7 linked regions of the Callithrix jacchus genome follow. The protein of the gene in region 1 interacts with the protein of each later gene in a biochemical or structural test. Links are inferred from orthologs where the notes say so. Each region holds a gene or a part of one and is shown in the gene's direction. Other genes may lie near its edges. The genes, in order: NHERF2, CFTR, KCNJ1, PTH1R, SLC26A3, PDGFRB and PODXL.

Region 1 (4,125 bases):
GAGGCTGCCCAGAGGCGGGTCCTGTGCTTGGGCGGGGGCAGGGGAGCCTAGGCTGAGGGCACTGGAGAGAGGAGAGGGAGAGGAGGACTGCACCAAGCCTGCTTCTCCTGCCCACATGGGGAATTGCCTGGGCTGGCTGTGCCTAACTCCTGGGAACCAGGTATGTGTAGGGGGCCTGGCTGGACTGGGGAGGAGGGCAAGCTGGGGCTGTGCCTGGACTCAGCTGCCTTCCCACATTGGAGACTGAGGAAGAGCTGGGTGGGGAAGAGCATGGACTCTGAATCTCACATCCCTGGGCCCAAATGGAGCTGAGGAAACTTTGTGGGTCTCTTCCCTCTTCAGACCTCAGTTTCCAGATCTGTAAAGTGGCCAGACCCCTAGGGTTGTTCCAGGTAAATGCACTCAGCCATAAATGATTTTGTTGTGATGGTGATTGTTCTGTTGGGGAAGGGGGACACTCCTGCTTCAGGTGGAGGCTGTGGGCCAGGGGAGGGGAGGCCTACAGGGGTCTGCCTGTGGACAGTGGCCACCACTCAGAACTCAGAGCTCAGACACTTCAGTGCAGTGTATCCCATGTCAGGAGCGGGTAGCAGAGACCTTTGAGACTCCTTCCCCTACCCTCATCCGAGCCTGTGACTGTAAAGTCACAGTCCAGGCCTGGGGTGGGCTGGGACACAAGTGAGGGGGGCCCAGCCAAGGGAAATAATGGGGGGAGGGCTCAGGAATGGACTTGGTGCAGATAGCCGAAACACGGTGGGTAGATCAGGGAGTCTCCCAGTCACCGGCCCCCAGGGTGCAGAAAGGGGCTGCTGCGTGTCACTTTTAAACCCCTCTTTTTGCCTCCTGGGCCCTCCTGAGCCGCTGCCCTGTCCCAGGGCAGCTCTGGCTGCAGGAGGGATCCGGATCAGGCACAGCCTAGAGGAGACAGGCAAGGGGGTCGGGGAGGGCTACCTGGGGAGGGTGGAGGGCCGTGGCCCTCGTTCTTACCCTTTGGCCCCTTTGTGGGGGGAGTCCTTTGGCCTGGAGACCCTTTTTCCAACCCGTCACCCACCTCAAGACCTGCCTCGGTGCTGCGCATACAGTAGGTTTCCAGTAAATGTTCCTGGAATAGAAGGCAGAGGCGCTGGCACCCGGGCGGCCGTCCAGAGTAGGGGCGAGACAGAGGGGTCCCCTGGCCCTGCCGCCTCCCCCCGCACCCCCTTGGACTGTCAGGGCGCAGAGGCAGGGGCCTGTCCGGGATGGCTGGGACGGGGGCGGGGGCGGCCGGACGGCGGGGGCGGGGGCGGGGAAGGGGCGGGCGCGGGGGCGGTGCCGCAGCCCGAGCCGGAGCCCGAGCCGGAGCCCGAGGCGACGGGAGCCGAGCGGGAGCTGCCGAAGCCGCCGCCGCAGCCCCCGAGCTCCCCTGCACCCCTGCCTGCGGGCGGCCGGTGGGCAGCGGGCGCCATGGCCGCGCCGGAGCCGCTGCGGCCGCGTCTGTGCCGCCTGGTGCGCGGCGAGCAGGGCTACGGCTTCCACCTGCACGGCGAGAAGGGCCGCCGCGGGCAGTTCATCCGGCGCGTGGAGCCCGGTTCCCCCGCCGAGGCCGCCGCGCTGCGCGCTGGGGACCGCCTGGTCGAGGTCAACGGCGTCAACGTGGAGAGCGAGACGCACCACCAGGTGGGGGCCCGAGCTTGCCCCGGTCCGCCCACGCCTCCACGAGCACTTCTCCCTGGGGTGGGCGGGGGTCGCACGGGGCCCGAGGGGGGTCCCGCGGGGAGGACGCGGACGTTGCGGGGAGGCAGTGGCCCGGCGCCTTCCCAGTCCCGGCGCAGGAAGCTCAGCCTTGCACGGGGTGGGGGTGTATCCTGGCAGGGAGGGGCCCGCACTGCGGCTCCTGGCCGTTGGCTTCGCCGTTTGGTTGCCTTTTGGCCTCAGTGTGCCATGAAGGAGGGTGTCAGGCAGCCTGGGGCCCCTCAAGGAAGGTGGAGACCTGGGTGCTTTTGCCTGGGTGTGTGTGTACACGTGTGTGTGTGAACACAGCTGGGTGTGTGTGTGCAGGTCCCTCTGGGGTCAGCCATGTGTGCACGCGCCTGCCTGTGTGTACCCAGGAGGGGACTGCTAAGGGCATCAGTGTGTCTGCACCTGTGTGTGTGCCGGAGTGTGCGTGTATCCAGGTCTGCACACGTGTGTGTGTGTGTGTACAGGTTTAGACTCCTGGTCGTGTGAGCGCTGGACTCTGTGTGTGAACATGAGTGTGTCTGTGAGCCTGTGTGTCTGCATGCCTGGCCTGTATGCTTGTCACTGTGTGTCTGCAGGCTGGTGAGTCTGTGTGTCCATACTCTTGTGTGTCCCAGCCAGGTGTGTCTGGGACAGGTGGGAGTTGGCCATTGGTGGCAATCACATTCCTTAGCTCCAAAGGCACTGCCCCTCCTAAGAGGCTGCTTAGCTTGGCTCGGGACATTGGCTGAAGCCTCCTGCCTCCTGGCCAATGCGAACAGAGCCTTTTCTCTGTGGGTTCTGACCCCTGAGTCTGTCTGTCTCCCACAGGCCAGGGACTCACTCCAGACCCTGGTTGGAGTCCAGTGTCCACACACCCTTTGTTCTCCACGTCCCCTGTCCCTCACAGCACCAGCAAATCCTGTCTACATGGCTGGTCCTGGATCCTAGAGATTAGTAGGTTGGGGCCGGGCGAGGTGGTTCACACCTGTAATCCCAGCACTTTGGGAGCTCAAGGCGGGCAGATCATGATTTCAGGAGATGGAGACCATCCTGGCTAACAGGGCGAAACTCTGACTCTCCTACAAATACAAAAACGTAGCCGGACGTGGTGGTGCACGCCTATAGTCCCAGCTACTTGGGAGGCTGAGGCAGGAGAATCGCTTGAACCAAGGAGGCAGAGATTGCAGTGAGCTGAGATGACTCGGGAACAGAATGAGACTCCTCAAATAAAAAAAGAGATAGCAGGTTGGCTCATGGCTAGGCCTGGAGCTGGTCTCCTGTTCACCCAGTACCTGTCCATTCCTCTGCAGCTTGCCCCTGCCTCCCATCCAGAGTGTCTGTTGTGTAAGGTTGTTTGCTGAAGAAGGTGGGGATCAGGCTGGGGGCCTGGGCCTGAGGGACCGAAGGTGTGGCTGGCAGGGTGAGGGGACAGTCACTGCCACCTTTTCCCTGGGAACATCTGCTTATCCAAGGCCCCTGGGGTGCTGGTCTCAAGGACTGGACACACAGGTCATGGCGGAGCCTCCCCTCTGCCCCAGGAGGGCAAGAGGGGCAGTTACAGCCTCATGGGACAGGAGAAGAAAGTGATGCTGGTGATTTGGGGTGACTGGTCTGGGACACATAGTCAAGAAACAGCTGGGCCCTGGGTTCCTTTTGCCTCACTCTTCATGGGGAGAGAGGAGGACCAGTGGGAAGATGGGCCTGTCTCGGCCCCTCGTATCTGTTCACCACCCCTGCTGAGCCCGGCAGCTGGTAGGGAGCCCTGTCTACCCTCCCACAGGCAGCAGGTGGAAGTGGGGCTGCCCCTCCTCCTCCCCACGGCCCAGTGGGCACTGCTTTCTCTCTGAGGGTGCATGCTGGCCCCCTGTGTGGTCCAGATACTTCACAGGCACCTGCACGCACACGCCGACAGCCATGCCACAGCTGTCCACAGGTGCACCTGCCCCTCCCCCTCGACGGCTGCAGCTCAGTCCTGCCTGCTTCCCGGGCTATGTGTGGGTCCTTGAGCCAGGAGCCCAGCTCTTCCATCTCCGCAGGTCCCACGGGAATGGGCTCATGGTCATGGTCTGCAGGCAGATGCAAGGCTTGGGGTCAGGGGTTTAGACTCCCGCACTGTGTGGCAGAGAGTGACAGGAATGGGCATAGATACACCCAAACTGGGGCCCAGGAAGACCCTCGTCTTCCTCGAACGCGGAGGGAAATACAATCTTTGAAACGGATGCACGCATACGCATGCACGAGAAGACGGAAAAGCTGAAGCTCAGCTGGGCACCATCTTTGTCACTTCCGGACAGGACTCCCCAGCTGCCGTACCCTGCAGCCCCTTCCTGACCCCTCTGGAGAAGACCCAGGGCTAAGAGCAAGGCCCTGGGAGGACCCTGAAGCCCTGGCAGCCTGGGCTTTAGTGTCCAGAGCCCAGAGGCAGAG
Region 2 (3,500 bases), on another chromosome or scaffold:
TTTAAGTGTTATGAAGAAATTATCCCATTTCTATTAATATGGAAACTGTGTCTTCATCTTTATTATGGTTCTAAGATCAATGAAATGTAGATTTTACTTGCTTATAGTTTCATATTTTACTAGCTTATAGTTTCATATATTTTACTATTATAATAGTAAAATATAAATAGTAAAATATTATGGGTATACCTTTTGTTGTGAAGTACTCACACTTACTTGGAACTTTTACGAATATGATACAGAGACTGAAACCACAGGAACAAATTGCGATATTGATTATACAGTTGTGGCAGCACTGCTTTCAATTTGTTGATAGCAGTTAACACTTAGAAAAACATTTTAAAAATAATTTCACACAAATGCTGCAATTTATTAGCTATCTCTGACATTTTACAGTTTGAAATAGTCTACTTTCTTCTTGGTATCCTCACCTAAATGTAAGATCTTTGAAGGCAGGAACTGTATCATTTTTTGCCATTGTATTTTGAGCACATAGCATGGTACTGGCCTCTAAATAGATACTATTGATAAAAGGTTTTCTTTTTTAAGGTCATATTTTAAAGTGTATGCTATGGTACAATTCAGTTTGTAACTTTTGCTAGTTTATTCCACTTACATCTAACAAAAGCATGTCAGCAGTTCTTGGAATGTTGTGAAAAGTGATAAAAATCTTTTCAACTTATTCCTTTATTTCTCATTTAAATTAATCTACCCTAGTAAAAAGACATGTATAAAAGTGCTACTTCTGCACCAGTTTTGAGAATAGTGTTATTTCAGTGAATGGATGTGGTGACCATATTGTAATGCATGTAGTGAACTGTTTAAGGAAAATCATCTACACTAAAAGATACAGGAAATAGTGAGGAAATGTAATTTAATTTCCATTTTCCTTTTAGAGCTGTATACAAAGATGCTGATTTGTATTTATTAGACTCTCCTTTTGGATACCTAGATGTTTTAACAGAAAAAGAAATATTTGAAAGGTATGTTTTTTGAATAACTTACTTACAATGCTCATGCTAAAATACAAGAAAGAAAGACTGTACCATCATACACTACATTTTACCTCTTAAGAAATATGTTCACCCTTGTTGGTATTAACTCAAGCCTGATCTTCCCTACCTGGCCAAGATTCAAGATCACTTCCATTAAACCCTTTTCTGTCCATTTCATGCTAAACCAATTTTTCCCATTGCTATACTGTTATAGCAATTGCCATCTGTGTAGTTTTTGCAGTATTATTGTCTTGTGACATATATTACTTTAATTGATTATTATGCTTAACATTTTCATTTACTTTTTTGTGTTAGTATTTTATTCTGTCTTCTCCTTAAGTAGTACACTTCTTAAGAAAATGCCTATGCCAAATGTTTTTGCTAGTTTTGCTACTGGTTTAATGTAGGTGAATGCTTAGACTACTCATCTACCTCAGTACTTCTTCGGGGACCTCCTTCTCAGTCACACAGAGCTCAGAACTTATATTTCCTTGGAACTACCGTTAGGGTCCAATATACATGATATTCCCTAGACAGACAGTTAGTTATATGACCTGACTTCAAAATTTTAAAATGATTCCATGGACTGTAAGGTAGTCTATTAGGAGAACAGTTATTATGCTCTTCTAGAAATAAAGACTTTAAGCTATAAATATGGATATGTGTATAAAATGGCTGGATTATGCCTAGAAGTACTTTTCTTAAAATTTAGTTAAATTTGATATCCAAGATACTATTTTTACAACCCTGTGACTGTGATAAGTAACTTCTATATTAATATAAACCTTGCTGCATTTGTATTGTTGTGTTAGTGTGTTACGGAATAATCTAGAATGATGTATCTTTCTATATGATATATAATATTTTAATGCCTAAAAAACTGATATTTCTTAGATCATTCTAGTCTGGATTTACTTCTAGAATAAATGAAAATTTTATTAGAAGAGAGTCAAATTAATTATCAAATTCTCAGTTATTGTTGCTGTTTTATTTTTAGTGAAACAGATTAGTTTTAATGTAAGCACTTGAGAAATAAATTGGTGGTCAACCTAAAATGTAAAAAAAAGAAAGAAATTAATAGAAAATTTAAAGAACAATAAGACTCTGACATTTAAAAGACATGGAAGTACAGCTCTCTAGGGACCTTGAAGATCATCTAATACTTTCCTCATTTTCTAGATAAATAAACTGAGACCCAGAGGATAAATGATTTGCTCACAGCCAAATATCTGCTTAATATAGGAAATTTTATTTCATTCTCAGTCTGTTAACATGCAACTTTTCTTTAATACAGCATGATATTTCATGCTATCAGAATTCACAAGGTACTAATTTAATTACTACAGGGTACTTATAGAATCATTTAAAATATAATAAAATTGTATAATACAGATTATATGCAATAAAACAATAAAATGCTAAAATGCAAGACATTATTGTAATAAAGTATTTATAAAATTGATATTTATATCTTTTTATATTCTTAAAGCTGTGTCTGTAAACTGATGGCTAACAAAACTAGGATTCTGGTCACTTCCAAAATGGAACATTTAAAGAAAGCTGACAAAATACTAATTTTACATGAAGGTAGCAGCTATTTTTATGGGACATTTTCAGAACTCCAAAATCTACGGCCAGACTTTAGCTCAAAACTCATGGGATATGATTCTTTTGACCAATTTAGTTCAGAAAGAAGAAATTCAATCCTCACTGAGACCTTACGCCGTTTCTCTTTAGAAGGAGATGCTCCTGTCTCCTGGACAGAAACAAAAAAACAATCTTTTAAACAGACTGGAGAGTTTGGGGAGAAAAGAAAGAATTCTATTCTCAATTCCATTAACTCTATACGAAAATTTTCCATTGTACAAAAGACTCCCTTACAAATGAATGGCATCGAAGAGGATTCTGATGAGCCTTTAGAGAGAAGGCTCTCCTTAGTTCCAGATTCTGAGCAGGGAGAAGCAATACTACCTCGCATCAGCGTGATCAACACTGGCCCCGCACTTCAGGTACGAAGGAGACAGTCTGTTCTGAACATGATGACACACTCAGTTAACCAAGGTCAGAGCATTCACCGAAAGACAACAGCATCCACACGAAAAGTGTCACTGGCCCCTCAGGCAAACCTGACTGAGCTGGATATATATTCAAGAAGGTTATCTCAAGAAACTGGCTTGGAAATAAGTGAAGAAATTAATGAAGAAGACTTAAAGGTCAGTATAAATTGCTTGCGGGTACTTCACCCCCCAGAGTGCAGTTGAGTAGAATGCAATATGTAGCATGTAACAAAATTTACTCAAATTATGAGATTAGGATAAGGTTTGTCTTAAAACTCAGAAAGTATGAAGTTTATTAATTATGCAAGCAACTTTAAAATGTAAAATAACAAATAATTTCTTTTTGCAATGGACATATCTCTTCCCATGAAATGGGAAAGGATTTAGTTTGGAGTCCTTTACAAAGCCAGTGATAATCGTGACTATAAGTTAGAAAGCACCTGCTTTA
Region 3 (4,138 bases), on another chromosome or scaffold:
AAGTTGGTTTCGCTTCCTAGTTCTTACGAATAAACATATTTTTCAAGGGGGATTTTGAAATCTATTTTAAAAACACATTTGCATTTAATGAAAAATACCCTGAAGACACTGCTGACCATGGTGGCACACCTTGACATGTTTGGGCATCGAGGAGGAGGTAATCCAGCGTTTTTGACCTTGGGTTTTGCCATTGTTGGCTGTTCATGGGACAGTCCCTTCACGATTTTGCTGTAAAATGGAAGTCACAGTACTGTCATCTATAAAAAACCAATTGAGCAAACAGGATTTTGAAAAATGTAATTCATTCACTGAATTGTTTTATTTACGTTTACTGGTTAAACAGTAGACACTCATAGAGTGTCCTAGCAACTTGGATACAGGAATGAATAAAGTATGGTCTGTCTGTATGGAGTATTATTTAAACCAGTGCTCCCCAGTCGTCCAGCTTTGGAGTAGAAAGGAAGTGTGAGACGTTGATGGTGGCCCTCATAATATTCCTTTTGGGAATCTTGGGAAACCATGGAAAGAGGGTAGGAACAGGCTTGTACATTTATGGAGAAGACCTAGGAGACCGTCTAGTTGGATCTGAGCTCTCTTCTAAATAGTGTTGAACATTAAAAAAAAGAACTATGACCAATACTTGTCTAAAATATTTTAGGAAAATGTAACTTTATAATATGACATTTGATAACGGAGACATGGAGTGGTAGAAGCTCCCTTAGACTGGAGGTAGGGAGCCCTATATTCTAGTTGTCATCTTGCCGCTGACTAGGTACATGAATTTTGACAAGTCATTTAAATTTTCTGAATCTCAGTTTTCTCATTTGATAAATTGAGAGAACTGAATTGAATTAGAATTTTTCTTGATATATGAGTATCAACAGAAGTACAACAGAAGTGCATTAGGTAGTATATTGATGAGTGTTTTCTTGATCAGTTATTTATTTTCCTGTATTTCAGAAAATACATTCAGTGCTTCAAGTTTGTGATTTTTCAGAAATCATTGCTTAGCAGAAGGCTAAACTTACGAGAAGTTGATTTAAGTAATAATATTCAATAAATAAAACTGCAGGCCATAATTGGTTATCGTGAACATTCTTAAGGTTACGTGAGACCAGTTGAGGTCAGGAAACACTTAAACATATGATCTCTTAGTTTTCTTCTATTTCTAACTCTCTATACTTATTTTGCTTCTTTATATTTGAGTGACATGGTCTTCCAGTGGGAAGTTTCTATTAGAAATAGCATTGTGGTATCCAGAACAAACCTGTCGGCTTGACAAATGATTAGTAACCCAGATAATTTTGAATGATCTTTTCATAGTTAGATCTTTTATGTGAGTCACCCAGCTCACTATTGCTACAAACATAATCCTTTTTTGTTTTCCTTTGATGTGTTTTCAGATCAGGGTGTTGACGGAAAGTATGTTCAAACATCTTCGGAAGTGGGTCATCACTCGCTTTTTCGGGCATTCTCGGCAAAGAGCAAGACTAGTCTCCAAAGACGGAAGGTGCAACATAGAATTTGGCAATGTGGAGGCACAGTCGAGGCTTATATTCTTTGTGGACATCTGGACAACGATACTTGACCTCAAATGGAGATACAAAATGACCATTTTCATCACAGCCTTTCTGGGGAGTTGGTTTTTCTTTGGTCTCCTGTGGTACGCAGTAGCATACATTCACAAAGACCTCCCAGAGTTCCATCCTTCTGCCAATCACACTCCCTGTGTGGAGAACATTAATGGCTTGACCTCAGCTTTTCTGTTTTCTCTGGAGACTCAAGTGACCATTGGATATGGATTCAGGTGTGTGACAGAACAGTGTGCCACTGCCATTTTTCTGCTGATCTTTCAGTCTATACTTGGAGTTATGATCAATTCTTTCATGTGTGGCGCCATCTTAGCCAAGATTTCCAGGCCCAAAAAACGTGCCAAGACCATTATGTTTAGCAAGAACGCGGTGATCAGCAAACGGGGAGGGAAGCTTTGTCTCCTAATCCGAGTGGCTAATCTGAGGAAGAGTCTTCTTATCGGCAGTCACATATATGGAAAGCTTCTGAAGACCACAGTCACTCCTGAAGGAGAAACCATTATTTTGGACCAGACTAATATCAACTTTGTAGTTGATGCCGGGAATGAAAATTTATTCTTCATCTCCCCATTGACAATTTACCACGTCATTGATCACCATAGCCCCTTCTTCCACATGGCAGCAGAGACCCTTCTCCAGCAGGACTTTGAATTAGTGGTGTTTTTAGATGGCACCGTGGAGTCAACCAGTGCTACCTGCCAAGTCCGGACATCCTATGTCCCAGAGGAGGTGCTTTGGGGCTACCGTTTTGCTCCCATAGTATCCAAGACAAAAGAAGGGAAATACCGAGTGGATTTCCATAACTTTAGCAAGACGGTGGAAGTGGAAACCCCTCACTGTGCCATGTGCCTTTATAATGAGAAAGATGCTAGAGCCAGGATGAAGAGAGGCTATGACAACCCCAGCTTCATCTTGTCAGAAGTCAATGAAACAGATGACACCAAAATGTAACAATGGCTTTTCAACAGGAGTAAAGCCAAGTCTCCAAAGTTTCTAGTGAAACAGTCAACAACTTAGGGGTACAAAAGTAGGATGAGAGCCTTCAAAGTCTACCAGCACAAGGACCCCTGAGCCCTGCAGTTGTGATCCCACAAGACATGCATCTCTACAAGGCTACTGTATTAGAACGTACCATGCATTTATAGGAAACTGGCATATGGAAGCCATGGGCGCTCACTTGAAATCTTCAATATGATTATTTGAGTTCATGTAGAGTTGATGGGAGCAGACAAAATTATCAGAAGTTTCATGGAAAGGACAAACAAAAATTTTTTTTAAAGTTTTCTTAAAGAAGTTATGAACTTTAGAAAGGATCTGGGAATAATAATAATCTCATTTTGATTCTGCTGTTAAGAAAGACTCCACTTTCATTTTAATGTGGAATTTTACTGATGGAAAAATTGTCTCCTAAGTTGGGGAGACGAACCAACCAATAAATGACAATAAGAAAATTCTTACACAAAGAACAATTTGAGGCTTGAATCTTCTCATGTGTTACATTTAGACAGAGGCTAAATCTACTCGCTAGAACCTTGATGATACCTTCCTGCAAGACAGAATGCTTTAGTTAAAAGTGACGATGATATTTCTTTCAATCTGTATTGGATGGCTTCAGGGACTATACATCTATTTAAAGAGAGTGTTTCCTGCTCTTCTAAGTTAGCAATGAGGAGTTCAAAGGTGCAAAGTCAGTAGAGAAGGGAATGTATCATTAATGCACCTGAGAAGAAAGTTTCATGAGTTTCTCCACCTAGAGTTTGTGCTGGAATGCTATTTCTAAAGAAGTGGGAAAGAGAGAGGAATGGGATGGAGCCCCACAGTCAGAACGTTACTAGGCTTTTCTTTCCCTGAGAGCCCATCTTCCTAAAAGGGACCAGCTTATGGAAGGATCGACCTTGAGGATAAGGTTTTACTGTGAAAGTCTTCTTCAGGTCCCCACCTGCATCATTTTGAATGTGTCCTGGAAAAAAATGGTACTCAAAGCTACTTAGGAAGCAAAATGTTTTCAGCGTGTTGATTCATATATTAAATTTCCGAAACTGTGCATGCACTTTTATTAATATTATTACTGTGCGTTAACTGAGTTAGGCCCCTGGTGAATGTCCTTTTGCGGAGAGGATCCTCTCCTGGAAGAGGTGGGAGGAGTGGAGAGGAAGCACATAGGATGCATTTGTTGTCTCTAGGCCTCAGGAGGAAATGACCCTGCCCACAGACACACCTCTGCCAGTAGAGCTCCATCACGCCTCCCCAGTGTGAGTCTTGGCACATAAACCGGTAGCTGCCAGTTCCATGCCTGGGTTGTGTTTGTATGGATCCGTGTACCACTCTGGTCCTAAGAACAGTGGGGATTCTGATGGGTTTAAGGTTGCATACCTTGTCAATGGCCATAACCGTGGGCACAGCTGGCCCATGTGGAATTCTCACTCTGTGCCTGTGAGTGCTTTGGCACCACAATTTAATGTGCTGGCACGGCAGAAAGAAATCAGGTATCACAAGCTTGAGGGAGCTGGAATTCTCTGCTGGTCTGCTCTCATGATGTAGCCTCT
Region 4 (3,500 bases), on another chromosome or scaffold:
GAGGCAACAGAACCACTGGCCACCCACAGATGCAAACGCTAAGGAGCTGCCGCCCCACTCACAGACGCACACACGCTGCCCTATGCCCAAAAATACCTGTGCACGTGCACGCTCACAAACACGTCCATCTGGCGTCCCACGGTGACATGCCGGACAGTCCCCGCGTGAGAACGCGCACAGATGGACACACACGAGTGCATGCGCCGGCCACACTCGCGCATGCGCAGGGATGAGCATGCGGCTCCGCTAAGTGGAACCAGCAGAACCCGAGGCTGGCAGAGCCAATTGGAGACTCCTTGGCCCTGGAAGCCCTCGCTGCTGCCGCCAAGAGACGCGGTCAATTAACTTCTCCCTGCAGCCAGGCTCCCTGACCCGGCCCGCCCACCCCGTCCCTGGCCGCCTCCTTCCTTCCCTGCCCCCTCCGAGTCCTCCCGCCTTGCACAGCTACGCTTGGACTGCAGAGCCCCAGCCCCGCCACGGCAGGTCTGAAGGATGCGGCTCTGCCCCGGGGGGCTGAGGAGACATAGCCTTTTGGGGGACCGGTGGAGGGGATCATCTCAGGATACAGGCCCAGGGGTCTGAGGAAACATGGCCCTGAATTAAGGGGGTTGGGGCTGAGGGCTTCACAACCCCGCCCTGGGGAGGTTTCAGAGGCCGCCTTAACCCCTGCAGGTCACACTTATGGGAGTAGCTGGGCCAGGCACACCAAGCTGTTCCCCTGCTGTCTTCACCCTGGCTCCTTGCCTCCCAAGTCAGAGGCTTACACCCCTCAGCAGCCACCTGCTCTGAGTGAGCCTCCACCCCCATGATGTTTCATGTCCTTTCCTATAATGAGGCCAGTGAGTCCCGGTGGGTGGCAGCCAGGGCCCATGGTGTGCAGGTTGGAAGGAAGGGAAAGGACATTCCAGGCAGAGAACAGCAGGAGTGAGGGCCTGAGTGTCATCAGAACTCAGAGTCCGCTTGAATGGAGGGAATTCTCAGATCAGCAGTGGAGAGGGACTCCCACCCACCACAGCCAGCCACAGCCAGCAGTTCCTCCACCCTCTCCCTCTCGGGATTGTAAGGAGGGGAGGCACTCACCGTTCACTGGGGAAAGCACTGACTGGGGACCTGAGCCAAGATGGAAATTGGTGACTCCTAAGGCCCCCCCAGGGTGCCAGAACTTGAAGGAATCCAGGCTGGGTTTGTCTCCCCAGAGCTCAGGACTCCTTATCCAACCCCTGCCCCCGACTCATGTCCCCAGCAGGCAGCCAGGATCCTGTGTGGATCCATCCTGGGACATTCCATTCCAGTCCCATGAACCCCTAGGGAAAGGACTGGGCAGAAAGTATCAGTGACTGCAGCCTACAGGGTTACTGGCAGGCAGGCAGGAGACAGCTCCCTCCTTCTTCCCTTGGATCAGGCAGGCCCCACCCCTCAGAGCCACAGTTTCCCATCTGTGAGGTAGGAGCTCCATAGAGCAGATTTCCCACATGTGGGGAAATCCCACCTTCCCTCTAGAGTCAGGGCCTTTTGAAAGAGGGTAATCACTCTGGGAAATTGGGATGGCTCTGGGACCTGCTGCGCTGGAAAGTGCTGCCTGTGGTCTGACCTTCGGCTTGGCAGGTGGATGCAGATGACGTCATGACTAAAGAGGAACAGATCTTCCTGCTGCACCGTGCTCAGGCCCAGTGTGAGAAACGGCTCAAGGAAGTCCTGCAGAGGCCAGGTGGGGGTCAAAGGTGGGGGTCTGGGGATGAGACCAGGTGAGGGAGGGGCCAGTTGAGGGTGGGACCCAGGATGCAGAGCCAGGTGAAGGCTCTCTGTGGGAGTGGACTCAGGTAATGGGAACCAGGCCAAAGTGAGGACCATAGTGGGGTGGGTGGTGCAGGAGTGGAGTCAGCAGGCTTGGGCGTCCTTGGCTTGTCCTAAGTCTTTTCTTTTTCTTTTTGAGATGTAGTCTCACAGTGTCCCCCCAGCTGGAGTGCAATGGTGCGATCTCGGCTCACTGCAACCTCCACCTCCCAGGTTCAAGCGATTCTCCTGCCTCAGCCTCCTGAGTAGCTTTGATTACAGGCGCCCATCACCATGCCCAGCTAACTTCTTTTTCTTTTTGTATTTTTAATAGAGACAAGGTTTCACTATGTTGGCCAGGCAGGTCTCAAACTCCTGACCTCGTGATCCCCCCACCTTGGCCTCCCAAAGTGCTGGGATTACAGGTGTGAGCCACCTTGCCCAGCCTGGCTTGTCCTAAATCTTAAGCTCAGGTCCCTGTGTTGTCTACCACTAGCGCTCAAACTGACGGCTGTCAGGTTAATCTCATCAACCCAAAAGGCTCAGACTCCAACTGACTGATGGAGAGGGCAGCTTCCTCCCCTGACAAGCCCTTAGGGCTCTGCAGGGGTCAAGTCTGGTGCACGCCCAGAACACAAGCACACAATGACACACACACTCTGTGGCACATACATGGGTTTTGCTCACACTCACAGACTCACATGGTCTCTGCAGTTACAGCCCCACCCATGCTGGCCCCAACAGTGGCTCCCAGTTGCATTGAGATCTGGGGGGTCAGGTGGACCCCCTCGCTTGGGTCCTGAACCCAGCCCCTCTTCTTAGTTGTGGAAGCCTGAAGGGTGCCCTCCCCATACACCATGGAGCCTCTCTCTTCCTACTTTACCCCATCTTGCTGCCCACATCCCCACACTGATGGCTGAGGGTGGAGGCAGGAAAATAAGCACAGTCATTCTCGTCCCAGTCCAGGCTGCCTGGACTCAGCTTCCCATCATTGCCACAGACCCGACATGGGAGGGCCAGGGGGCCCTAGCTTGGGCTGTGGCTGAAGCAATGCAAGTCAGAAATGAGGAAGACTTTGTGACTAGGAAGAAAGACCTCCCCAGCCCGGGCAACATAGTGAGACCCTGTCTCTACAAAAATATTTAAAAATTAGCCAGGTGTGGTGGTGCACACCTGTAGTCCCAGCTACAGGTGAGGCTGAGGTGGGAGGATCGCTTGAGCACAGCAGTTTGAGGCTGCAGTGATTCATGATCACATCACTGCACTCCAGGCAGGGCCGCTGTGGAAGCTGTGAACCACATATTCAAGGTCCAGGGAAGGGGATGGGTGGACTTCTCTGTCCACTCTTTTTTTTTTTCTTTTTTGAAATTTTTGATTTTTTTTTTTTAAAGACGGGGTTTCACCATATTGGTCAGGCTGGTCTCGAACTTCTGACCTCAGGTGATCCGCCCGCCTCAACCTCCCAAAGTGCTAGGATTACAGGCGTGAGCCACCGCGCCTGGCCTCTGTCCACTCTTGACTGTACCACCTTGCTCTTGTCTTCTCCACCAGCTTCTTTACCTGCACAGCACTCAGGCCAGACTTCGTTTTCGCTGTGTGATCTGCCCATTGACACCTCCACCCCTGTCTGCTTTCACCATGCGCCCCCTGGTGGGGCCTTCACTGCTGCGTGGCCTTGGCCCCCACTCCTGAGTCCTGGGTGGGACAGTCCACCTCTGCTGTCTTAC
Region 5 (3,500 bases), on another chromosome or scaffold:
AAAGATAAGTAAAACAGAGTGTTCCCTTCCAGTGTCTCTGATGGCATGATGATTTCCCCAACCTTTTACATTCTGAAAAGTGAGCCAGTTTTGGTATGCTGGAAAAAATCAGTGTTAGCTTTATAGGCCTAACAAATGTGCATGATTTACTTGTTTTTCTCCCTACAGTCCAAAATGCAGCACACTGGCTAATATTGGAAGAAGCAACATCTATAAGAATAAAAAAGATTATTTGGATGTAAGGGAGATTCATTTTTTTTCTTTGACTTGCTAAATGATATTAAGTATGGATCTAATGGGCACCATCTAATAATACTTCTCTGCCTTATAGATGTATGAGCCAGAAGGAGTGAAAATTTTCAGATGTCCATCTCCTATCTACTTTGCAAACATTGGTTTCTTTAAGCAGAAACTTCTCGATGCTGTAAGGTTTGGGGTTATTTAATTTTTTTTCTTGTAATCTTACTGAATATCTAGGAATGTGTTTGTTCTGTAAGGTCATTGTTGAGGCTGGGTTGTGTCACATATGTTGAGGTGGGGTTGCACCAGTGTTTTTTGTCCCATGTCCCAGAGCAGGTGAAACTACCTTATGGGAGTTTGTTAATATGTTGAGAAATAAGCCTATTCAGATGACATCTAATATAGAAAAATACTTTTCTCAAACTCTGCTGTAGAGTAAAAAAAAATCCATGTTTTGGGTTGCTGGCTTTTAACAGGTGTCATCCTACAGATTTTCTTTGGGCATCAACTTTAGAAACAATGAGGGACCATTTAATATTTGATCACATCATCAAAGAAATTCAGTATAGCAGCTGTAAATGAATGGTTAATACTAAATAACAATAAATACTGAGTGTCCCTGGCAAACTGGAGAGATGATGACAAGGAAGCAAGCAGTCTTGACAGTTAAGACAAAAAGCTCAGTCCTCACTCTTGAAACATGCCTTTTGGTTTACTCTGTAGCTTGCATAGAGCTTCTGCCTTAAACCTTAATTATTATTATTAGTTTGATATGCATCGGATATTTTTCTACCCAGTTTTGTTGTTGTTGTTTGAAAAATGAGATTATATTGTTTATTTGGTTTTCTATACTGCCCCTTTTGATTACTCTAGTAAACTTCCATGTAACTTTATTTTTTGTCAAGGATCTTTTTTTTTTTTTGAGACAGAGTCTCACTCCATCACCAGGCACCAGGCTGGACTGCAGTGGCACGACCTTGGCTCACTGAAACCTCTGCCTCCCAGGTTCAAGCAATTCTCCTGCCTCAGCCTCCCCAGTACCTGGGACTACAGGCGCACACCACCACACCCAGCTAATTTTTTTGTATTTTTAGTAGAGACGGGGTTTCACCATGTTGGCCAGATGGTCTCGATCTCTTGACCTCATGATCCTCCCGCCTCGGCCTCCAAAAGTGCTGGGGTTACCAGCATGAGCCACCACAAGATTTTTTTGTTTTTTTGAGACAAGGTCTCGCTCTGTCACCTGGGCTGGCATGATCACAGTTCACTGCAACCTCAAACTCCTGGGTTCCAGTGATGTCCCCTGCCTCAGTCCCCCAAGTAGACGGAACTACAGGCATGTGCTATGACACCACACTAAATTTTTAAATTTTTGTAAAGACAAGGTCCTGCTTTGTTGCCCAGGCTGGCCTTGAACTCCTGGCCTCACGCAGTCCTCCCACCTTGGCCTCCCAAAGTGCAAGGATTAGAGGTGTTAGCCACCACATCTGGCCAAGGATTTTTTATTACATAATTTGATCCTCCTCTCTTATTTACCTGGACCTAAATATTATAGCAGTAAGAACTCATTAGGTTGAAAAGGGGAAATAAAGATTAACTTCAAACATAATACTAAATTATAAAATAATAACATACAATTACATAAATTTTAATAAAATAAAAATTACATGGAAGCAGAATACTTACATAGGTGTCACCCATACTCAATAAATAGAAAATAAATAAAATAAAATCCCCTAAGAGTTGTGTAGGTTCCAAACACAAACAGATTCAAATAGAGTTTATGTCTACTCATGGATAATTTATGAATGAATCCTGGACTGTGTCATACAAAAGCTTTTGACTGTTGGTAACTGGATATAGGTGGAGCAGACCATGGGTCTGACACAAAGTTGTTGCTGATGTTGTTTAAACCACTTTTAAATTTTGTCGCAAATATTTTTATTATCTGTCCCAATCCCTCAAATCACTCCAGTAAAAGTTGTTAGAATTATGCTATATAAATAATAGAATATTCAGTACTCTTGTAACACAGCAATGGGTTTCTCAGGTTGGCTTTAATCCACTTCGAATTCTACGCAAGCGCAACAAAGCTTTGAGGAAAATCCGAAAACTGCAGAAGCAAGGCCTGCTACAAGTGACACCAGTAAGTTTCTTGACCACATTTCTCTGCATTGTAGCTAAAAGCTCAGTAAAGGATGATTCAAGGTGTTAGTTCCATTCCTTTAAATGAATTGCCAAACAAGGGATTTCATGTGTCAATGAATGTTCTATTTTAAAATGACATGTTTCTGAGGGTCTCCCTAAAATTTCGACTCTCCTGGGAAAAGTACCAAACACAAGTGTCTACAATCTTGTTGTTTTGAGACATTGTCTCGCTCTGTGGCCTAGGCTGGAGTGCAGTGGTGTGATCACAGCTCATTGCAGCCTTGACCTCCCAGACTCAACGGACCCTCCCACCTCAGCCTCCCAAATAGCTGAAACTGCAATCACATATGCCACCGCACCTGGCTAATTTTTTTTATTTTTTACAAAGACAGGGTCTTGCCATGTTGCCCTGGCTGATCTCAAACTCCTGGACTCAAGTGATCCTCCCACCTCAGTTTCCTAAAGTGTTGGGATTACAGGCATGAACCACCAAACCCAGTCCAATCCCGTTGTTTGGCTCAACTCTGAATCAGTGCTTCTGAAACTCACTGGCTATCTCTGACATACACAATGTTTTTCTTCTTGGTCACAGTTATCATGCTTGTTATCCTCTCCTGCAGAAAGGATTTATATGCACTGTTGATGCCATAAAAGATTCTGACGAAGAGCTGGACAACAATCAGATAGAAGTACTGAACCAGCCGATCAGTACCACAGACCTGCCCTTCCAGATTGACTGGAATGATCTTCCTCTCAACATTGAGGTCCCCAGAATCAGCCTCCACAGCCTCATTCTCGACTTTTCAGCAGTGTCCTTTCTTGATGTTTCTTCAATGAGGGGCCTTAAATCGGTAATTTTGTTGTTCTTAATGGAAACAACCAATCAATGGCTAAAGGTTAAAAAACTGTTTTTGTGGGTCGGGGGCAGTGGCTCACACCTGTAATCCCAGCACTTTGGAAAGCCAAGGTGGGTGGATCACCTGAGGTCAGGAGTTCAAGACCAGCCTGGCCAACATGGTGAAACCCCCATCTCTACTAAAAATACAAACATCAGCTGGGCATGGTTTTACACACCTGTAATCCCAGCTACTTGGGAGGCTGAGGAAGGAGAA
Region 6 (2,760 bases), on another chromosome or scaffold:
TCCATGCAGTGCAGGCCTTGCATAGTTTTCACAAGGGTTAAATGAGCCGGAGTGTGTAAAGTCCACGGCGCAGGGGCAGATGCTCCAAAGGCCCTTCATGGCTGCTGCTATCATCCTCGTGGGCTCCTTCCTAGCCCTCACGCACTGCCTCCTTCCTCTAGCTCCACCCTGAATGAAGTCAACACCTCCTCCACCATCTCCTGTGACAGCCCCCTGGAGCCCCAGGAGGAACCAGAGCCAGAGCCCCAGCTTGAGCTCCAGGTGGAGCCGGACCCAGAGCCCGAGCTGGAGCAGCCGCCGGATTCAGGGTGCCCCGCACCTAGGCCAGAAGCTGAGGATAGCTTTCTGTAGGGGGCTGGCCCCCACCCTGCCCTGCCCGAAGCTCCCCCTCTGCCAGCACCCAGCACCACCTGGCCTGGCCTGGCCTGGCTGGGTCTCCTGTCAGCCCTTATCAGCTGTCCCCTTCTGGAAGCTTTCTGCTCCTGACATGTTGTGCCCCAAACCCTAGGGCTGGCTTAGGAGGCAAGAAAACTGCAGGGGCCACAACCAGCCCTCTGCCTCCGGGAAGGCCAAGTGACTCTGAGCCAGGGTTTCCCCCAGGGGACTCAGTTTCCCCATATGTAAGATGGGAAAGTTGGGCTAGGTGACACAGAATCTAGGATTCTCTCTCTGGCTGATAGGTGGGGAGGTGGAATCCCACCCTGGGGATTCCCTCCTTGGGGTTATTGAGGTGGTAAATTAACTTTTTTCTGTCCAGCCAGCTACCCCTAAAGGAATCATAGCTCTCTCCTTGCACTTTTATCCACCCAGGAGCTAGGGAAGGGACCCTAGCATCGCTGGCTGCTGGCTAAGCTGGGGCCTAGACTTGGGCAGTGCTGTCTCATCCACAACAAAGCTAGTCTCCTCCCTATGCTGCCAGTCTCTGCTTTCCCTGGCCTGAGCTGGTCTGGGCCATTAGGCAGTCTAATTAATGCTGGAGGCTGAGCCAAGTACGGGACACCCCCAGCCTGCCGCCCTTGCCCAGGGCACTTGGAGTGCACCTGGCCATAGCAAGTGCCCGCGTCTCTGTCCTTCAGGGCCATCAGTCCTGGGGCTTTTTCTTTATCACCCTCAGTTTTAATCCATCTACCAGAGTCTGCAGGGACTGATCGGCCCCGCATCTGTGATGAGGATGTTGATGTGCCAGTGTGAAGTGGCCAGTATGTGTCCCTGGCTCTGCATTGGACCTGCTATGAGGCCTTGGAGGAATTCCTCACCCTCTCTGGGCCTCGGTTTTCTCCTTTGAAAAACGAACAAGTCAGACTTAACTCCAACGGCCTTGCCAGCACTAACATTCTAGACTATTCCAGGTGGTTACACATTTGTCCAGATGAAGCAAGGCCATATACCTTAAACTTCAATCCTGAGGGTCAGCTGGGCTCCTGGGAGATTTCAGACCACACGTCACACTCTGATGACTCAGGAACCGTGCCCCTTCCCCAGGACCCCAGCAAGTCTCAAGAATGCAGCTGCCCAGACCTTGACTTAGAGTGACAGCCAGTGTCCTGAAAAGCCCCCAGCAGCTGCCCCAGGGACATGGGAAGACTGTGGGACCTCTTTCACTACCCACAATGACTTCCAGGGGTATCCTGGGCAAAAGGGACAAAGAGGGCAAATGAGATCACCTCCTGCAGCCCACCACTCCAGCACCTGCGCCAAGGTCTGTGTCGAAGACAGAAGGGACGGTAAAGATAGTTATATCTTGTAAAGGACAAGAAGCTTCAGACGGGTACCCCAAGAAGGATGTGAGAGGTGGACACTTTGGGGGTTTCCTTCTCACCCACCAGCTGCCCCATCCCTGAGGCAGTACTTCATGGGGGTATGGTTTTGTCACTGCCCAGACCTAGCAGTGACATCTCACTGTCCCCAGCCCAGTGGGCATTGGAGGTGCCAGGGCAGTAAGGGCTGTAGCCAAGACTCCCTGGCACAGGAAGGATTGGGAAAGGAGCGCAGGAAGCTCAGCCCTTCTGGGCACCAGCCCTGCATTGCAAGTTGGCACCTTACTTCCCTGGGATCCCCAAAGTTGGTCCAAGGAGGGAGAGTGGGCTCTCAATACGGTACCAAAGATATAATCACCTAGGTTTACAAGTATTTTTAGGACTCACGTTAACTCACATTTATACAGCAGAAGTGCTATTTTGTATGCTGTTAAGTTTTCCTACCTGTGTATGGTTTTTTAAGGGAAAGATTTTAATATTAAACCTGGTGCTTCTCACTCACAGACTTTGTGGTATCGCTCAGGTTTGGGTTCCTGTCCCTGGGGGATGGGGAGTTTGGAGTAGGCACATGCAGCTCACTCAGACTGGACCCCAGACAGATCCCTTCAGCTCCGAGTCTCATTACATTCATCTGTAAAGTGGGGATACTCACTCTCCAACCCCTTGTTAGGAGCTGGGCCACCTAGACCTTGGACTTGGTTTCCCAAGGTGAAAAACAGGCAGGCTTTTCTGGCTCCACGGAGCCTGGCCTGAGTTGGGCAGGAGGGTGTGGGGCTGCAGGGCTGTTTGGAGGCTCTGGTGCTGAGCCTCACTGCCCCCACCCTGTGCTTTGGCTTTGGCTATCAGCTGGGACACTGTCCCCTCCAGTGCACCCACAGGCCCAGATTGAGGCCAGTGCAACCTGTGACAGGCAGCTGCCAGAGCTCAGATTCCAAGTCCACGTGAGTCATCACTCAGATTCCAGGCCCCAGGTAGGAGCGCAGCAGATAGAGTGCCCAAGAGC
Region 7 (3,500 bases), on another chromosome or scaffold:
CCACCTTTTGTCCCCAGTGTCAGTAGCATCCTGTGGCCAGCCCCGTTCATGCCACTGGATTACTGGAATTGCCTCCAGACTTCTCTTCCCTTTTCCACACGTTCCTCTTTCCAGTCCGCTTTCCCCAAAGCGGCGGAAACATGTTTCTTTGTAAGTCATCCTATACCACTTCCTTGCTTTAATGCCTTCCCTGGCTGCTTTTTTGCAGCTAGAATAAAATCCAGAATCTGCATGTTGGCCTCTGAGGAAGGTGATCTTATGTCTCATTCTATGTAGGATGTGATTTTATGATTTTTATTTTTTTGAGACGGAGTCTCACCTGTCGCCCAGGCTAGAGTGCAGTGTGGTGTATTCTCGACTCACTGCAACCTCTGCCTCCTAGGTTCAAGTGACTCCCCTGCCTCAGCCTCCCAAGTAGCTGGGATTATAGGCCTCCGCGACCTTGCTTGGCTAATTTTAATTTTTGTATTTTTAGTACAGACGGGGTTTCTCCATATTGGCCAAGCTGGTCTCAAACTGCTGGGATTATAGTCATAGGCCACTGTACCTGGCCCAATAGGATGTGGTTGTTTTTTTTGTTTGTTTGTTTTTTGTTTTTTTGAGACAGAGTCTCACCTGTCGCCCAGGCTAGAGTACAGAGTGGTACATTCTCCACCTCCCAGTTTCAAGCAGTGCTCCTGCCTCAGCCTCCCTTGCAAGTAGCTGGGATTACAGGCACGCACCACCATGCCCGGGTAATTTTGTATTTTTAGTAGAGACGGGGTTTCACTGTGTTGGCCAGACTGGCTTCGAATTCCTGACCTCTGGTGATCCACCCACCTTGGCCTCCCAAAGCGCTGGGATTACAGGCGTGAGCCACTGCGCCCTGTTGGATGTGATTTTTAAGAGAGCCTTTTACTCTCAAAAATGTCTGGTTTGGACGCTTAGTTGCTGTCAGTGTAATTATAAGACCCTGCATTTTCTCAGCCCTGTGCCTGACCCCTTCTCACCAAACTCCATTCCTGCTTGTCCTCTTTCAGCTCCTTTCTCTACTTGGGGCTTTGCAGATTCTGTTCCTTCTGCCATGAACACTTTTCCTCCCATTCTCCATACATTGTTCTCCTTGTTATCCTCCGGGCTTAGTTTAACAATCATTGCAGAGATGCTTTCGCTCCCCTCGCCGTGGGTCTCTGCGCCACTTCCTTCCTTGCCTCCTCCATCTGGTAAGCAGATTTAACCACCCTGTTTAGTCTCTGTCTCCCCCACTGAGCGTAGCCTTTTTGAGGGTATGAGAGTCTGTGTCACGTTCACTGTTGTGTCTCCACTGCCTGACACAGAACCTGTTTCCTCAAGAATTATTTCGTTAAACAAAGCCTTCCTTCCCTTTGCCCCTGGCACGGCGAAGCCGCCGCGCTGCACAGTCGGGGCACAGCTCTGTGTAACTTCAGTTTATCATCCGTTTCATCTTCTGGATTTAACTTCCATGAGAACAGGGACCATGTGTTTTTTGCTTAAGCTCAGCACAGGGCCAGGGCACTTCAGGGAGCATTAGTCTGTGGAATCTTTGGTGGGGCCACGTGCCTGGGAGCTGGAGAGGAGGAGACAGAGATGTTCCTGGCAGCCGGTTCAGGGGTAGCACATTGAGAAACTTGAGGGAGATGTGTGTGGGGCTAGACAGGGAGGGCAGACAGGGAGCGTACGACAGCCTCCACGTGTGGGGGCCTCACTGGCCTGGCCCTCTCCTTTGGCAGCATTTTGCTTTTCTGACCCTGCTGCACTCTAAACTCCCCTCTTAGAGGTTTCTTGAACCTCAGAAAAATCTGGAGTCGGCCGGGCACAGTGGCTCACACCTGTAATCCCAGCACTTTGGGAGGCCGAGGCGGGTGGATCACGAGGTCAAGAGATCGAGACCATCCTGGTCAATATGGTGAAACCCCGTCTCTACTAAAAATACAAAAATTAGCTGGGCATGGTCGTGCATGCCTGTAATCCCAGCTACTCAGGTGGCTGAGGCAGGAGAATTGCCTGAACCCAGGAGGTGGAGGTTGCAGTGAGCCGAGATCACGCCATTGCACTCCAGCCTGGGTAACAAGAGCGAAATTCCGTCTCAAAAAAAAAAAAAACAACAAAAATTAGCTGGGTGTGGTGGCGCATGCCTGTAATCCCAGCTACTTGGGAGGCTGAGGCAGGGGAATCGCTTGAACCCAGGAGGTGGAGGTTGCAGTGAGCCGAGATCATGCCACTACAGTCCAGCCTTGTGACATAGCAAGACTCCATCTCAAAAAGAAAAGAAAAGAAAAGAAAAAAATCTGGAGTCACCGAGGACCCAGGCCTTCAGCAAGGCCTCTGAATCCTGGGGAAGAGCTGGAGAAGCATGGTGAGAGAGCCTCCCAGCCCTAACTCCATTCTGTATTGTCTTTGCAAACAGCAGATTCACATGCTAATGACTCACTCAACGGAACAGCCCCAATGGCAGCAGAAGCCTCCAGCAGGCAGGACCAGGCTCCAACAGCTGCTGTCACCACAGAGGCCAGAGCTGCAGTCCAGCAGAGCACAGTCCTCACCCCCAAGGCCCCGGTCAAGGCGAACATCACTAATGTGGCCAGTGACTCAGGAACTGCAGCCCCAGTTCAGCAAGACAAAGTGACCAGTACCGTGCCTGGAAAAGCAGACTCAGGCAGCCCTCCTGCCACCAGCGATGATCCCAAGGGCATGAAAGATACAGCTGGCACTACAGTTGCACCCTTCACGACCACAGCTCAACCTGACGCCACCACCAGCCAGGATGGAGCGAAAGATCCAGCCACATCTGGGGACCAAAGTAGCCACAATGTGACCATAGACCTCACAACCATTAAGGCAGAACATCGGACGACCCCTCAGCCTACAGATCCAGTTAGCACCCCCCAACCCACTCAGATGCATCTTGTGGCCACCCCAACAAGCTCGGGACAGGACCATCTTATGACAGCTTCAAGTGGTTCAAGCACTGCGGCTGGCACTGACCACACCTTCACAAGCCCTGGGATGACCGCCACCCTACGTAAGTAATGCCTGGTTTTCTTTAAGCACAAAGAAACTCTAGGGCCGGGTGTGGTGGCTCACACCACTAGTTGCAACACTTTGGGAGGCTGAGGCAGGTGGATCACCTGAGGTCAGGAGTTCGATACTGGTCTGGCCAGCCTGACCAACATGGCAAAACCCCGTCTCTACTACAAATACAAAATTAGCCAGGTGTGGTGGCAGGCACCTGTAATCCCAGCTACTCAGGAGGCTGAGGCAGGAGAACTGCTTGAACCCAGGAGATAGAGTTTGCAGTGAGCTGAGATCACACTATCTTGGGTGACAGAGCAAGACTCTGTCTCAAAAAATTATACTTTTCAGCACTTATAATTCATATAGTTGCTCAACTGGAAAATGGAGATCTATGTGAAGGGTAAAACACTGTGTAATCACAGCACTTTGGGAGGCTGAGGCAAATCACCTGAGGTCAGGAGTTCAGGATCAGCCTGGCCAGCTTG

The links.
Region 2: the proteins of NHERF2 (region 1) and CFTR form a complex in vitro, tested with the Homo sapiens proteins (4 studies listed by BioGRID and IntAct, with this or other methods). The link is inferred for Callithrix jacchus from reciprocal best matches to the Homo sapiens genes NHERF2 and CFTR.
Region 3: the proteins of NHERF2 (region 1) and KCNJ1 form a complex in vitro, tested with the Homo sapiens proteins (2 studies listed by BioGRID and IntAct, with this or other methods). The link is inferred for Callithrix jacchus from reciprocal best matches to the Homo sapiens genes NHERF2 and KCNJ1.
Region 4: the proteins of NHERF2 (region 1) and PTH1R interact in a test that uses a peptide from one of them, tested with the Homo sapiens proteins (2 studies listed by BioGRID and IntAct, with this or other methods). The link is inferred for Callithrix jacchus from reciprocal best matches to the Homo sapiens genes NHERF2 and PTH1R.
Region 5: the proteins of NHERF2 (region 1) and SLC26A3 form a complex in vitro, tested with the Homo sapiens proteins (2 studies listed by BioGRID and IntAct, with this or other methods). The link is inferred for Callithrix jacchus from reciprocal best matches to the Homo sapiens genes NHERF2 and SLC26A3.
Region 6: the proteins of NHERF2 (region 1) and PDGFRB form a complex in vitro, tested with the Homo sapiens proteins (2 studies listed by BioGRID and IntAct, with this or other methods). The link is inferred for Callithrix jacchus from reciprocal best matches to the Homo sapiens genes NHERF2 and PDGFRB.
Region 7: the proteins of NHERF2 (region 1) and PODXL form a complex in vitro, tested with the Homo sapiens proteins (3 studies listed by BioGRID and IntAct, with this or other methods). The link is inferred for Callithrix jacchus from reciprocal best matches to the Homo sapiens genes NHERF2 and PODXL.

What each region holds. Positions count from the first base shown.
Region 1 is NC_133513.1:4,726,674-4,730,798, reverse strand, and holds the start of NHERF2 (Na(+)/H(+) exchange regulatory cofactor NHE-RF2), read left to right. Parts: upstream 1-1,325; 5' UTR 1,326-1,443; coding exon 1,444-1,656; intron 1,657-4,125.
Region 2 is NC_133512.1:88,177,877-88,181,376, forward strand, and holds part of CFTR (cystic fibrosis transmembrane conductance regulator), read left to right. Parts: intron 1-896; coding exon 897-983; intron 984-2,484; coding exon 2,485-3,208; intron 3,209-3,500. UniProt on the Homo sapiens protein: Epithelial ion channel that plays an important role in the regulation of epithelial ion and water transport and fluid homeostasis. Mediates the transport of chloride ions across the cell membrane.
Region 3 is NC_133511.1:28,537,697-28,541,834, reverse strand, and holds KCNJ1 (ATP-sensitive inward rectifier potassium channel 1), read left to right. Parts: upstream 1-1,401; 5' UTR 1,402-1,424; coding exon 1,425-2,543; 3' UTR 2,544-3,638; downstream 3,639-4,138. UniProt on the Homo sapiens protein: Inward rectifier potassium channels are characterized by a greater tendency to allow potassium to flow into the cell rather than out of it.
Region 4 is NC_133516.1:29,559,163-29,562,662, forward strand, and holds part of PTH1R (parathyroid hormone/parathyroid hormone-related peptide receptor), read left to right. Parts: intron 1-1,605; coding exon 1,606-1,708; intron 1,709-3,500.
Region 5 is NC_133512.1:78,234,584-78,238,083, reverse strand, and holds part of SLC26A3 (chloride anion exchanger), read left to right. Parts: intron 1-168; coding exon 169-238; intron 239-331; coding exon 332-424; intron 425-2,290; coding exon 2,291-2,386; intron 2,387-3,008; coding exon 3,009-3,239; intron 3,240-3,500. UniProt on the Homo sapiens protein: Mediates chloride-bicarbonate exchange with a chloride bicarbonate stoichiometry of 2:1 in the intestinal epithelia. Plays a role in the chloride and bicarbonate homeostasis during sperm epididymal maturation and capacitation.
Region 6 is NC_133503.1:48,826,062-48,828,821, reverse strand, and holds the end of PDGFRB (platelet-derived growth factor receptor beta), read left to right. Parts: intron 1-161; coding exon 162-351; 3' UTR 352-2,260; downstream 2,261-2,760. UniProt on the Homo sapiens protein: Tyrosine-protein kinase that acts as a cell-surface receptor for homodimeric PDGFB and PDGFD and for heterodimers formed by PDGFA and PDGFB, and plays an essential role in the regulation of embryonic development, cell proliferation, survival, differentiation, chemotaxis and migration.
Region 7 is NC_133512.1:115,698,188-115,701,687, forward strand, and holds part of PODXL (podocalyxin), read left to right. Parts: intron 1-2,407; coding exon 2,408-3,022; intron 3,023-3,500. UniProt on the Homo sapiens protein: Involved in the regulation of both adhesion and cell morphology and cancer progression. Functions as an anti-adhesive molecule that maintains an open filtration pathway between neighboring foot processes in the podocyte by charge repulsion.